Linked DNA regions of Diceros bicornis minor. The protein of the gene in region 1 binds, or shares a complex with, the protein of each later gene. Links are inferred from orthologs where the notes say so. Each region holds a gene or a part of one and is shown on either strand. Other genes may lie near its edges.

Region 1 (7,750 bases):
CCATTCTGTGGCAGGCATCCCACATATAAAATAGAGGAAGATGGGCACAGATATTAGCTCAGGGCCACTCTTCCTCAGCAAAAAAAGAAACAAGTAAAATATGTACGTATAGCTATGAAAATGGTAAAGTAAGGCAATGCAGTAGAGAGTGATGGTGGGAATGATTAGAAGGGCCACTCAAGGAAGGCCTCTTTGAAGGAGGGACATTTGAGCTGTGATGACAATAATGTACATTTGAGCTGTGATGACAATAATGTGTTGTCGGCTGAGATCTGGGGGAAGAGCATGCCAGGCTGAAGGAACAGTAAGTGCAAAGCCCCTGAGGCAAGGACAGCTTGTTGTGGTTGTTGGAGAAGAAGGGCAGCCAGAGTGGCTGGAGCACAGTGACTGAAGTAGAGGGATGGGTAAGAAGTTGGAGAGGTGGACAGTGGCCACACCATCTAGAGCCTCAAAGGCTATGGTCAGGACACTCAGGCACTTACTCTAAGGACAATGGTTGGGACATCATCTCACAAAGATGAATGGCTGTATCAGGACTTTTCTTAAAGTGCAAGACCCTAGCATCTCCCTCCTCCAGCCTCTCTCTCTATTGGAACCAGTTCCCTCATCCACCCACACCTAGACCTCTAAGTCACCCCCTAGACCATGAGCAGTCCCCAGCCAAGACCTGCCCCCACCCTCATGCTGCCCATCTGTACCCTCTTCCAAAGGTGACCTACCTCTGAGGGTCTCTGGGAACCTCTGGGGCTGCTGCAATAGGTTGGCTCCAAACAGGAAGCAGAAGCCATTCACATAGGTGTTCTCTTTGCAGGTTTGGTGCACGGTGGGGCCGCAGGCCTGGGGGGCAGGGTACAGGTGGCAGGGCCTGTCCCTGCTTCCTGTCCACTCACCTCAGCATCTCCACCCTCCACAAGAACCCAGCCCCGGCAGCCTTGGATCCCCAACTCCTTCCCTCAGGACTCCTTCCCTCCCGAGACCCAGGGCAACTCACCAGCAGCCGAAAAGGGTTGGTAGCGAACGCCAAAGACAGGCCCAGGGACATGTTCACAGACTCCGGGGGGACTGAGGACAGATATATACATGGTCACCCTCAGGGGGCTGAAAGGGACTATGTAAGAGCTGGACAGGGGTCACCGTGACCTGGGAGACACGGAGGTCTGACAGGTCAAGGGGGCACCTAGGTCGTGGGGAAGGAACATGGAGGGGGTGTCTGAGGGTGTCTGAGGTAGAGTCTGCATATAGCACAGAGGCTGGGGAGCTGGACCCCTGGGCCCCCCACCACAGACCCCCTTGAACAGACCTCCAGAACAGAGGGAATGCCTGTGGAGTCCAGGTGTACGCACAGGTGGAACCCAAGCCCTGGGTCCCAGGGAGGGGCAGCGACTCACCCTGCAGGCGGATGGGCTCACACCTGCCCGTGCTGTAGTCACACTGGTAGAGGCCACCTGTTTGGTTGGCAGCCTTTATCTCCTGGGGGGCTCCAACCACCACCCTGGGGGGAGAGGTGGGAACAGATCACCACTGGGACAAAAGACAACTCTAACTTGTCGGGAGAGAAGACCATGGAAGTTCTGCCCACCCAGAAGAAAGTGGGGGAGCCAACCCTTACAAGATTCTCCAATTCCCAGAAATAGGAGGAAGACTCAGCAAAGAAAAAAATGTGAAAATTCTAAATCATGGAGGGGGAAGGGCCTCTCTAAGAATGATACAAAACCCAGACGTCATTAAAAAGTGAATAAATTCAACCACACAGTCATTTTAAATAAATTTCTGCATGGGATCAACTATCCTAAGTAAAGTCAAAAGTCAAAGAGTCAAGTGGGGGGAGGGAGATGAGCACCTCGTACCCCAGCCCCTTTCCTCCATGTAGTCAGAGCTCCCACAAACCAATAACAAAAACAAAACAATAACCCAACAGAAAAATGGGCAACAGATAAGAAAAAAGTGTTCACAGAAAAGGAAATACATCTCTCATTTTTTTGTGTGTGTGTAAGGAAGATTGGCCCTGGGCTAACATCCGTGTCCATCGTCCTCTACTTTATATGGGACGCCGCCACAGCATGGCTTTATGATAAGCGGTGCATCAGTCCGCACCCGGGATCCAAACCTTGTGAACCCCGGGACACCGAAGCAGAGCACATGAACTTAACCGCTATGCCAACTGGCCGGCCCTGTCTCTCATTTTTGAAAAGTGCAATTTAAAACAAAATTGAGGGGCCAACCCCCTGGCTTAGCGGTTAAGTGCGCGTGCTCCGCTACTGGCGGCCCGGGTTCGGATCCCGGGCGCGCACCAACGCATCGCTTCTCTGGCCATGCTGAGGCCGCGTCCCACATACAGCAACTAGAAGGATGCGCATCTATGACATACAACTATCTACTGGGGCTTTGGGGGGGAAAAATAAATAAATAAAATCTTAAAAAAAAAAAAAGGAGGAAGATTGGCAATAGACGTTAGCTCAGAGCTGGTCTTCCTCAGCAAAAAGAGGAAGATTGGCATGGATGTTAGCTCAGGGTTGATCTTCCTCACAAAAAAATAAATAAATAATAATAAAATAAAACAAAATTGAGATACCATTTCTCACCTATTCAGTTTGCAAAGATCAATAAGTTTGATAACACATTGGGTAGGCAAATGGGTGCAGAAGTAGGTGTGTCCATTTCTGGTATAAGTGTAAATTGTTGCCACCTCTATAAAGAGTAATCTGGAAAAATCTATTAAAATCACATATGCATTTGTACCCTTTGATCCAGCAATCCTAGTTCTAGGAATTTACTTCCAAATATCCTTGCACATAAGAAAAAAGACAGCACTGTTTGTTTAGCAAAAGTTTGGAAACAACCTAATGTCCATTAAGAAGAGATTTAAATGTAATAGAAACGTAAATTATGGTACCTCCAAACAACAGAATATGATCCAAGCATCAAAAAGAATGAGTAAGCTCTTTATAAGCTTATCTGGTAAAATCACCGAGCTCTATTAAGAAAAAAAAATGCAAAAGACAGTGTAGAGCAGAGGCCAGCAAACATTTTCTGGAAAGGTAATATTATTTCCGTAAAGGCTTTGCAGGCTGTGTAGTCTCTGCCGCAGCCTCTGGATTCTGCCATTTTGGCTCCAAAGCCGCCATAAATGATAAATGACGATGGCGGGGGCGGGAGGTGCGGGGAGGTCAATAAAATGCATTATAAAAATAGGCAGCCGGCGGTGGTTTGAGTATAATGCGTGCTACAAATTGTGTGCAGGATGGGGTCAGGGGAATGCGGAGGGGTATATAGCGGAGAATCTCTTGGGAAGAACACACAAGACACCAGGTACCAGACCCCCGCCCCCCACCCCGGGGAGGGAACTGTGGGGAGGGGCGTGCGGAGGACACTTTGTACTATTACACTCTTTTGTATCTTTTGAACCCTATAACTGTATTACCTATTCAAAAAATAAATCAAGAAAAAGACAAATCAAGGAAATTGCGACTTTTTTTTTCCAGAAATACAAGTTTTGGAGGAAGAGCGGATGAGACCCGGCTCTCCACCTGAGCCCTTACCGGGATCCCTCTAGCTGGACCACGGTCTGCCCGAAGCCCCTTGCGTTCTCTTGGAAGATCATTGCGTTTTCAGTGTCCAGGTTGAACCCATGACATAAGGCCAAGGCTGAGGGAGAACAAGGGAGTGAGGGTCAGGTGGAGATAAGGAGATGGTTAAGAAAGCAGCTTGGGCCCGGCCGTGGCTTAGCAGATAAGTGCGGGCGCTCTGCTACTGGCGGCCCCCATTCGGATCCCGGGTGCAGACAGAGGCACCGCTTGTCCGGCCATGCTGAGGCCGAGTCCCACACACAGCAACTAGAAGGATGTGCAACTATGACATACGACTATCTACTGGGGCTTTGGGGGGAAAAAAAAGGAGGAGGATTGGCAATAGATGTTAGCTCAGAGCCGGTCTTCCTCAGCAAAAAGAGGAGGATTAGCATGGATGCTAGCTCAGGGCTGATCTTCCTCACAAAAAAAAAAAAAAGAAAAAGCAGCTTGCCCTCCTGTGCCTGCATCTTCCTGCCAGGATTCACCCTAACCCAGCACCGAGATGTCTGCCTCCCAGGTCCAGCTCTGATAGCCTGGGGCAGAGGTCAGCATGCTTTTTCCATAGAGGGCCAGATAGTAAATATTTTAGGCTTTATGGGCCAAGAGGCAAATAGAGTATATTACGTGCAGGCACTTATATAACAAAAGAGAAAATGCACCTCCACAAATTTTTCATTAAGAAAATTCAAAATATAATAATTGTGTATAATTTTTTTGTAATACAAATTTACTAAGGAGACAAATGGACTTCTTTGGGGAAGATAACATTTCACATCATTGGGATTCAAAGTTAGTGTTCCCTATCATGAATCAATTATAAACGCTCATCTACGACCTCTGGCTCACATAGGTCAAACAGGTGGTGGAATCCTTGCCTTAGCCCAAGGCCGGTATGCTAACCTCTAGCCTAAGGACCACCATCGTGGGGTGCATTCAGCCCCTCTCTGAGCTCCACCCTGTGTTCTTACTTTGCTGATTTGTCCGACAATCAAGTTCCCAAAGACTCTCAGTTAGGCAATTTCCATCCTATGCAACTCGCAAGCATTTCTTTCCCCTCTTTGGCTCATTCACCACAAAACACAGGCATAAAAGGATTTTGATCAGTCAGTCATTCAACAAACATTTACACCTGGGTCCTTGGAAAATAGAACTGGAGGCAAAGTGGAGGTGGTGAGGTGGAATCCAAGAAGAAACACCCTGAGAAGAGAATCTAGTACCTGCTGAGCACCCTTGGGCATGTCATTTCACCTCTCTGGGCCTCAGTTTCCTCACCTGCAAAGTAAAAGGGCTAGCCGAACCCCCCTTGTCATTCGTCCGAGCTTCTCTGGTCATCCCACCTTGGTCAGGCTCTACTCTCTGCTTCCTCTTGAATCTCTTGTCCTTCCCCAAATCCCCTAGTCTAAATCCTAGATATTCTGCACCCTTTCTCTGCAATCACAGACTCCAAAGTTCCCCTTCTCCTCACCCTGAGGGCCCGCCCAGAGCCCTGGCGCACCTGTTAACAGAAGGACTCTGTGAGTCATGGCTGGAGGGAGCAGAACCAGGAGGCTGCACACACCACAGAGCCACTTGAAGGAAGCCACCAAAGCCAAAAAGGCCAGAAAAAGAGAAGTAGGAGGCAGAAGTCTGTAAGCAACCCAAAGGAAGAGGGCGGGGGCTCAGTGAGCACACAGCCCTGCTTGACCTTCCTCTTGGGGCTACACGAGCCTGTGCTCCCTCCCTACCCAGCTTCCTGCCCAAACCATCAAGGTCACTATCCCAAAGGTGTTCTTTGTTTGCCCACCTGCTGCTAGGTTGGCCAAAGCACTATGAAAGGCAAGCCGAATAGACGGAGGGCCTGCCTCCTGGAAGGTGTGTTCTAAACATCAATACAAATCAAGCAAGTGTGGGAGGTCACAGCCTGTGTGCCCCTGAAAGTGTACTTTGCAAAATGTCCTTCCCTCCTGCCCAGGGAAACAGGAGCACCCTTTAGCCAGACCTGGCCTCCTTCGTAGCGGTCAATAAGGACAACTCAGGTACAGAGAAACCTGGTGCTTTTTGAGTATTGTTTTGCTTTTTAAAAAAAAAAAAGCCTCAAACCCTTCACCCAGGAATTCTCACTTCCAAGAATTTATCCTAAGTAATAGCTGAGTACAAAGATGTATGTACGAGATTGTTCATTGCGGCATTGTTTTCAATGGTGAAAAACTAGAACAGCCTGAATATCCAACAGAGGAATGGTTGAGTGATGTCCACTCTGGGATACATCCTTATATTCCATCGTGTCTAGTCACTTCTAAACCTGTTTTCAAAGACACGGAGCACACTTTCATGAAATATAGAGAACACCAAACCGTACCTTGAGTGGGACTGCTAATGCGATCCCCAAGCCAATGATTTTTTCACTCTATCTCCAACACATTTTCTCTTGCTCCTAGTTCTACTTTCTTAATAACCAGAGCAAATAAATGTTTGCTCTCTGAAAAAATTCCATAAAAATTCTGCACATTTTATTTTAAAATGACCTGTTTAAACATATGCGTGGGTAGGAAAACCAAAATGTTAATAGTGGTTATCTCCGGATGATAGGATTATGGGTGTGTTCCAGTCATCTATGGCCTCACAGCCAACCGCTCCAAATCTTAGTGACTTAAAACAGCAACTATTATTGTCTCATGGTCCTGTGGGTTGTCCAGCCTCAGCAGTACTCACTGGGGGATCTCATTTGGTTGCAGTCAGATCGTGACTGGGGATGGACTCACCCAAGGCCCAGTTGGGCTGGACTTTCAAAATGGATCACTCACATGGCAGGCAGTTGACGCTGGCTGCAGGCAGGGAGCTCGGTTGGGGCTGTCAACTGGAGTAGCTACCTGTGGCCTCTCTATGTGACCTGGGCTTCTCACATCAGCGTGGTTAGATATCAAGAGGAAGTGTTCCCAGAGACAAGAATTGAGAGTTTCCAGTCTCTTAAGGTTTTGATCTGGAAACTGTCACAGAGTCACTTCCACCATATTCTCTTGGTCCAGCAGTGGCAGAGCTTGTCCATATTCAAGGAGAGGGGACATAGATCCTACCTCTCAATGGGAGGTGTGTCAAAGAATTTGTGGTCAACTTGAAGCTGCCACAGGACGATTTTAATTTTCTTCTATATATTTTTTGTATTTAAAACTTTTATACAAAAAATTTGAATGACTTTTATAATCAGAAAGAAAAGAAAAACACCAATAAATAGCTTAAAACAACAAAGTGCCTACACTTGACAGCAAAAAAAAAGGGCTGAGGAAAGAGGAAGAAGGCTGAGGATGAGAGGATGAAAAGATACCATCGGGGTGTGGGGGAGTAATTTAATGGATAAGCTGGGTTGTTTTGGTAAAAGCTTTCACACTCTGACCACCACAGGAAGCAGCTAGAACTCAGATATCGGGGCCCCTCCTTGCCTCAAACAGTAGCCAAGGGCCCACTGTCTGTAAAGGCACAGGCAAAATCTCAGAATGGCTATCCAACCCACAGAGTCTTTCTCAATGATCCACCAATAGGTGTGCACCTGACCAGATGAACACAGGTGGGCACCTATCTACAGGCTTCCAGCCACTCCCTCCCATCCAGCCCCCCACCCCAATTCTTGATAAAATCTTAGCTTGGGTTCCCCTATAAATGGACCCTGAGACAAGGATTCAAGTGCAAGTAATTTACTTGGGAGGTGATTCAGGAAACACTTGTGGGGAAGCAGGGGCAGGAAGAAGCCCCTAAAAGATGTGTGATAAAACAAGGTACTGCTGTGGACAATTGGAGCTCAATACACTGAGGAACTCTGGAAGCCAGCATAGAACATGCCTCAGAGTTGTCTGCCCGAGGGGAGGGGGCGTAGATTCTTATCCACAACTCACATCAGCTATCAGTTGAGGTGTGCTCTGTGGGAAAGCCCTAATTCTCTGGTGCTCCCAACCTGCCCTGACCCAGGCAGAGAAGGCTCCAGGAGCCAGAGAGAGCCCTCATGCAAACACTTGCAGGTACTGGCAGCTATAAATCTGGCCAGCTTGCATGAGAATGTTAAACGCTGATGGGACATGAATGGGGCAACTACAGTGTCTGCTACAGATACTCAAATATTTTTTCATAGCACTTTTCATTACATGAAATTACATTATATATTTATTTAGTTTTTCTATTGTTTGGCTCCTCTACTAGAGTATATAAGCTCC
Region 2 (7,750 bases), on another chromosome or scaffold:
AACACCTCTGGCAAGGTCAGAGCTCAGACCTTTGCATTTCCTGATCCCTTTGCCTGGAGACTCTTCTTCTAAGTGTTTACTTGGCCAGCTCCCTCAACTCTTCTAAGTCTTCACTGAAAATTCACCCAAGGGACACTTTCCTCCCCCAAATTGGCACTTTTATCTTCTTTCATTGTCTTATTTTTTCCCGTGGCACTTATCACATCTTTTAAAAATTTAATCAGTCATGAATTAATTAGTTTTGGTTGCTTGTTTATCTACATAAACTAAACTGTAAGCTATATGAGAGGAGGGATTTTCATCTGCTTTTGTTCATGGCTCTATTCACTCAAAAGCTTAAGTGCTCAAAGAATGTGGAATGAACGAAATGGCTTGAAATCTTGGATTAACAGACCCATGACTATGCCATAAGATCAAGTTTGGATTTGAAGTTGAACATTTCGGAGGGCATTAGAAAATATTTCTCCTGAAACTTTAGTGTAAAGGTGGGTTGAGTTAAATTATGACTTATCTGAACCTCATAGATTTCTATTTCTTAAAAAAAAAAACTCTTTTGGGGCCAGCCTGGTGGCGTAGTGGTTAAGTTCGTGCACTCCACTTCAGCAGCAGGGGTTTCACAGGTTTGGATCCTGGTCCCGGACCTACGCATCGCTTGTCAAGCCATGCTGTGGGGGCGTCTCATATAAAGTAGAGGAAGATGGCCACAGATGTTAGCCCAGGGCCAATCTTCCTCAGCAAAAAGAGGAGGATTGGCAATGGATGTTAGCTCGGGGCTAATCTTCTTCACCAAAAAAAAAAAAAACCTCCTTAATCTTCCTTTATATTTTTAAAATACAATGGTTAATAATGTTAGTCAGAGTTTCTCAATCTCAGCCCTATTAACATTTGGGGCTAAATAATTCTCTGTTGTGGGGGCCATCCTGTGCATTGAGGATGTTTAGCAGCATCCCTGGCCTCTACCCACTAGATGCCATTAGCAACCACCTCCCCCAAGCTGCGACAACCAAAAATGTCCCCAGTCATTGTCAAATGTCCCCTGGAGGGCAAAATTGCTCTTGGTTGAGAATCACTGATGTAAATAATTTCATATATTCTTATTTGAATGAGGGGTCATATTTTTGATATGACACATGAAATGGAGTGGAAATCATGGGGATCTCACGCTTACTATATCAACCCTATAGATAAGCACCACCACAACAGGGAGCAACATGGTATATTCATAGATGTTAAAATAAAGTTTAGGAAGAAATAGAAAATGGACAACCACTTGCTTAGTGGCCTGGAAACTCTATCCCCCTGGAGTAATAGTGAATGTTGAGAAGTCTCTTTCAATAAAGGGCCTAGGAAAAATAATAATAAAAAAAGATAGTGTGCATTCCTCCACAATTTCTGCAGGTGAAGTCAGATTGAATAATACAAACATTGCTTGCATCCCTGGGACGATGGAATCACAGGCGGGAGACAGGCAACCGGAAGTCTGTGTATAGAAGGAAGACAGTTGGTTCCTTACTCATTTATTCCACTTGAGGCTGGTGTGTGGCATGTGGATGGAGAGTGTGCTTATGGGGATAGACCGGAGGTGTGTATGTGAATTTCTGATGCCTCTCCTTTTGAAAAATTTGATTGATTGATTGATTGATTGATTAAAAGCTCTACTTGTAGAGATACCTCTTTGTCCCCAGCCCTCACTTCTAGGGGACATTTGCCCAGGTAGCAGTCAACATAAGAGCCCAAAGTCCCTGAGAACTACTTGTCACAAAACAAGGCTTTTAATTTCGAGATTTAAGTATGGTTCTAAGCAAATGTAAATTTATATAAGGCACTTAATAGATGTTTATGAAGTTGAATTGAAGGGATGTAGCCTCAGAACTACAGGGAATGGAAGTAAATTTTGCAACCATATTTGGGGTGGACCTCATCAAATGATAAGCTGGAAGGAACAAAAAGGAGCAAGACGAGGAGCAGGAAAGAACTGATGAGTGGAGAAAAATCTCAAAATTTACTTTTTGAGAATGTTTGGGTTAATTTGTTTTGTACTGAACGATTTTACATAATACTTTTGTCTCATATATATCATAAATATTCATCTATGCATTACTGAAACAGTCCTAGATATATTACCTTAGCATCTTTTCTCAATTGAACAAAATGGAAATTCCAGAAAGCCATGAAGCCCACCCTCCAAGTTTTACAAATCCCACAGTTTGAGCTACATTGATTAATCCCCTAAATTCTTGGGTGTCAAAGGCATGTCACTAAAGGCACCAAGGAAGCCAAAAAAGGAAAGAGCCCCCTAAAGGAAAATGGCATTTAATTGGGAACTTTCAGACATCTGTCACTCTGTGACAAGCGCAAAAAAGTACTTTGCACATTTTGTGAGGCACAGGTGGGATGGGACTGACAGTTGAAGTAACAAGCTGTGTGTAGGGAGGGCATTTGGGGGTGGGAGGAGAAAGAGGCTGGTTTTGAAGACTGTGCTTTTTCATCCCAAATGTCATTTAAAAAAATTGTCTGGGGTCAACACTGTAACCTAAAATGCCATGAATTGTCCATTTAAGATGTCCTACTTGATAAACTGGGGAATGAGCCCGTCTAAAAAACAGGTCATGCATAAAGTTTGGAAAAGAAAGATCATGTCGCGCTCTCTGCTAAAAACAACACAGTGTTCCATCTCCTGGCCTCTTGGTTCAAACCCGTGTGCTAGCTCCTGTGGGGAGAGACTGCCCCCGGAGAATTCTTCTTTTAATAAGCTTCCCAATCAGCTCGCGAGGGAAAGGCGCGCTCCCTCCCTCGCCCTGCCTGCGTCCTCTCCTTGCCCGCTCCCCTCATCCCTCCCATTCTCCATTTCCCTTCCTTTCCCTCCCTGTCAGGGCGTAATTGAGTCCAAGGCAGGATCAGATTCCCCGCCTTCCAGTCCAAAAATCCCGCCAAGGGAACCGCAGAGCAGAGGAAAATCCAGAGGGGAGAGAGAGGAAGAAAGAGACCAGTGAGTCACCGTCCAGGAGGGAGAGAGCAGACGCCGCGCAACGAGCAGCAGCGACTCGGGTACCTGGAGCAGACCACCTCGCCCCGTTCAACAAAGGCAGCCGGAGCGCCCAGAGCACATTTGCAACTCAAAGTAAGTGAAAAGGACTGCGCGATTCTCCGAGGTGTCTCCAATCGAGTTTCCCTTCACCTTCTGCCACTTTTCTGGGTGCCAGCAGATGCTGATGGTAGGAGTGAGAGAGAGGCTGCCTTGGTGTCTTTGCTGGTGGGGCTGCTTTCAAGGCTGATCGGCTCCAGAGGCAAACTGAGGCGTGTTTTGGGGGAGTCAGGTCAGGGTAGTGCGGGTGCCCTTAGATGAGTGGAAGGAAAGGAGCTTTTGTGATGCTATGCATGCATTTGGATAGTGTTCCTGCTACCAGCTGGAGAACGTGCAGGGGGTTTGCTCATTGTAAACCTGCTTTAGTAGGTGTGTCTGTGGCTGGGTAGAGAAGAGAGAGAAAGTAAGGCAGCCTGAGCAAGCGGGGCTCATTTCCCATCCTTTCTCTGCCTCTGCGATTTCCCCAGGGCCTGCCAGTTGATGACTCTTAGCTGGCATTTCTAGGTAAGATGTGGGGGTTGTTCTTCCCAGTACCAGCACACATAGAGCATCTCTCACAGAGCATCTAGCAATCCTTGTGCTGCCTGCCAGCCCAAGAATGGTCTAGAAATGATTAAAGTCCAAAGTTTAAAAGGCACACTTTAAACCCCCTCTCTCATTTGAATGCTAATTTTAATAACTGCCCTGTCCCCAGCACTTGAACTTTTTATTTCACCCACATAAAGCTAGAGTATATTTATTACTTATTTGCCAGATACTCAGTTTCTGAGTTGATGTTTCTAAGTTAAAATATTTTTAAAACGAGGAATGTATTCAACTCCCTTCCCTACTTGACACACAGAACATAAACTTCCTCTCTGTTTACCACACACACACACACACACACACACACACACACACCTTTCTCCTTAACACAGCACTCACACACACATACACAAGAACACAAGAACACACATTGAGTTTATATACACTGTTGTTAACTCACCCCTATCTGTGTTAACAGCTGCTTTTTAAGTTTGGGGATGCATTGAAAAAATAGGAGTGGCATGTGGCGGGGAGGGGTGGTGATGAAAGGGGAGAATGAAAAGTGTGGCGGACAAAGTTCCAGTCTTTTAGCATCTTTCATCTTAGTAGGCATTTTGCTTTAGCAGCTTGGAAGGGTGACGTGTGTGAGTGTGCATCTGTGTGTGTGTGTGTGTGTGTGTGTGTGTGTGTGTGTGTGTGTGTATTGGAGGGAAGGGCCTGGGAGGAGATTCAGGACCTGCCAAGAAGAGCCTTGGAACTAATAACAGAATGAAGCAATTTCATGATCCCAGGAAAATGTGGAATTGATGAAACAGTAGAGCCCATTTTAGCCCCTTGATCATCTGGGGATGAATTAATATGTGCAAATATTACAAAGTAATGGGAGTGAAACAAAAGCAGAGAAAATAAAGCTTGTATTTTCCATCTTCATTATGCTCCTTTTTAAGTAAATTACGTACTTTAAAGCCCAAATCATTAAAAGAACATTTATAGTCCAGTTAAATTCAAAGAAAACCAGAGTGGATATTATCTTTTTTCTCCCCTTCGGGACATGAATAATTTCAGAGTGGCAGTATTTGTACTTTCTCATTTAAACTAGAGGATGAGATTTTTTATTATTTTATTTTTAAAAAATGCAAATGGCATTATCCTGTGCTTTAAGAAACTTTTGCGCTTTGAGTGACTAATTGTCCTTTAAATCTTGAGAAGGGGATCCTTCCTCTCCTGCTGTCCCCAGGCCCCCTTTAGGACATTTTGCTCCTCATTTAGGGAAAGGCCTCCATAAGGAATACCTACCTAATGCGGTACAAAACCGCGTGAGGTGCTGTGTTCCAGTTGTTCACGTGTGGGTACAGTTTACAAAATAAAATACAATATATTTTCAAAGCTACAGCTGAGAGAGAAATGAAACTACTGTTAATATATAACCTTTTATTACCTGACTTTTAAATGAGGTATTATATAGAATGATAATAGTATATAACAGTATAAATAGTACAATATAGTATATATACTGTATAATAATATATAATAATATGTAATTCTGTGGTTGCCATGATATTTGGAATGATAAATTTACTAATTTGTTGAAAGTTTCCATGTACTTTACTTGGTATAGCAACATGTAGGAGGGCCTACATTTTTTTTTTAATGGGCATTTTTTTTTTGTTTACTCCAATAAAGCCAATGGCCTGTTTAAATTTTCACAAAGCCTGATCATTGGAAATAACCTGAGAGAAATAAGGTCCCCAAATAGTTTAATTGTTTTTATAAATAAAATCAATCTTAGAAATCAAATATTTTAAATTTAAATGTTTTATTTTCCCTTTGAAGATAACTGTTGCTTTCTCATTTAAATGACATTCTCACATGAATTCTGATCATATTCCTATTTGCCATGTGGTGTTTTTATTACTATTCAAAATTTTCACAAGAGACCGAGTTTAGTTGCTTGTTCAGAATGGTGTAGTAAGTTAACGGTAGATGGAAGGCCAGAAGTCAGAATTCAGAATATAAATTCCAGTTCTCCAAAGACTTATGCTTTGTTTTTCTTTTCTTTTCCTTTTTTTTTGGTAAGAAAGACTGGCTCTGAGCTAACATCTGTTGACAATCTTCCTCTTTTCGCTTGAGGAAGATCGTCCCTGAGCTAGCATCTTGTGCCAATCTTCTATTTTGTATATGGGACACCAACGCAGCATGGCTTGATGAGTGGTGCATAGGTCCGCGCCCAGGATCCTAACCTGTGAACCCTGGGCCGCCGAAGTGGAGTGTGCTAACTCAACCAATATGCCCCCAGGCTGGCCCCAAGACATGCTTTTTAACATGGCGGCACAGTGATGAGGGAAGTTGTTCTTGACTTCCCTCCTGAAGGTAGTGTCCAAATTGAGACCACCCAGGGTGATCAGAGAACAAACACCTTCTACACCTGGGTGTGCCTCAGCCCCGTTGACGGTGTGGTTTCCTCTGGGGCATCAGGCTGCGTCAGGGCTCTCCCACTGCCCTGTTCCATTGCTTGGATGCTGAGTGGGGCTTCTCTATAAGGGTGAAGAATGTTGTCTGTTCTAATGAATAATCAGAAGAACTTTTGTCTCCTCTTGGCACAAGGCCATGTCATCGCCCTGAGGTAAAATAATATTCTGATACGGACCTTGTTTTTAGGAGCTGAGTCTGCTTTTTTTCATCCAGAGTCAATTGGCTTGAGTGAAATATGGGCCATGGCCTCACTTCGGAAAGTTGTTCTCCATTCTTGCTGTTTGTGGCCAATTCAAGTTTCCATCCACTGGGCCATTTTTCCACGCACTTCATGCCAGTCATCTATGTGGCATAGTTTTCACAGTGTCGTACGGTCTTTCTAGATTATCCAATATAACAAGCCTCTTGTTCCTCCCTATTTTAGTATTTGGTAAATAAGAAGTTAAAATTTCTGTGGTTTAAAAGTGTAGCTATAATGTAACATTATCAGAGGGCATTATAATTATGGTAATATTATGGATTTGATTATGTAGATCACATTCACCACAAATCCCTATTTCTTAAGGTTAGGCTTAAGGGTAGGCAAAGAAGGAATACAGTGAATAGTTCATGCCTGAGATAGATATTTTGAGAAATAAATTTTAATTTCTTCTACTGGGCTTTATTTTGGAGCCATTTCTTCACAGTAGATTTAGATAAAGTTTCATTTTAAATAAAAAAGATCCTCATAGTGAGTTTCCTAAAAGAATTCTAGATTCTTAAACTTCATGCTCAGTGAAAAAAAAAAATCTCTTGCTGTATATTAATCTTAAAAGAAGTGAGTCCTAGTAACTGACACAGGCTCTTGATTCTAAGAATTGTGCTTAGCAAAAATCAACACATCATTTTAAAACACAAATAGCGTGCTGTATCTCTAACTTTTTGTTCCCACTTCTTCCAAATTTTACACTCACCTGTTCCCCCTCCTCTTGCTCTCATTTCTTCCTTTTATTGATTCAGTTGCCATTGTTTCTTGCCATCCAAGAGGTCCCATGATGTCTTGCCCAATTCCTTCCCCATATCTGTGATGTCATATATCCATTTATGTACATATGTATGAGGAACGGTTGCCCATATCTTGGAATGCATGGAAGGTTGGACCTTGCTAGCTGAAATTTTGACGTTTTTCTGACCTGGTTCACTCAAATTTGTTTTCAGGGCCAATGTACTCTCTATAGACTCAACTAGATTTTTTTTCTTTTTGACTCAGAACCTGGCGAGGATCAGCTTACCCTTTCATCACTGCAGTAAATGTTGACTTCATTCTCCTCTCAGCTTCTCAACTTCAATGAAGGGGTGGAGCCAGGATTATTTATCTTCATCACACTTTCCTAGGGGCTACCTCAACAACACAATGTTTCTTGCTGCTATGGCAAGTCAATTTAACAGTAATAAACAATATTTGCTATATATGTGCAGGATGCATAATACTTTGCTGGACAACGTAGTATATTTAAATACAACACAGAAGGTTCTTTTCTCTAGGGCTCACAGTTTTACAATTCCAAACGCTTTGTGTGTGGTAAGTGATGCTAACTTGTGAAATCCTTTGTTAGAAATTCAATTAAAAGAGATCTCAAACAATGATAATCCATGATAGCCTCAGCCATCTCTGGAAGAAACACTTGA

Evidence for each region.
Region 2: the proteins of ITGAM (region 1) and PTN are in contact, whole or in part, in an NMR structure (PDB 8VOH), measured with the Homo sapiens proteins. The link is inferred for Diceros bicornis minor from reciprocal best matches to the Homo sapiens genes ITGAM and PTN. Residues at the interface, in NP_000623.2 of Homo sapiens: Pro273, Asp276, Arg277, Gly279, Val280, Ile281, Arg282, Tyr283, Lys306, Pro307, Arg309, Asp310, His311, Ala334, Ile335, Glu336, Gly337, Thr338, Gln339; in NP_001308315.1 of Homo sapiens: Val56, Pro57, Thr58, Ser59, Asp61, Cys62, Gly63, Leu64, Thr66, Glu68, Thr79, Lys81, Thr82, Gln83, Arg84.

What each region holds. Positions count from the first base shown.
Region 1 is NC_080765.1:20,817,180-20,824,929, forward strand, and holds the start of ITGAM (integrin alpha-M), read right to left. Parts: upstream 5,178-7,750; 5' UTR 5,093-5,177; coding exon 5,065-5,092; intron 5,003-5,064; exon of another isoform or gene 4,787-5,002; intron 3,646-4,786; coding exon 3,540-3,645; intron 1,493-3,539; coding exon 1,389-1,492; intron 1,063-1,388; coding exon 992-1,062; intron 838-991; coding exon 720-837; intron 1-719.
Region 2 is NC_080742.1:85,495,505-85,503,254, reverse strand, and holds the start of PTN (pleiotrophin), read left to right. Parts: upstream 1-2,858; 5' UTR 2,859-3,121; intron 3,122-7,750.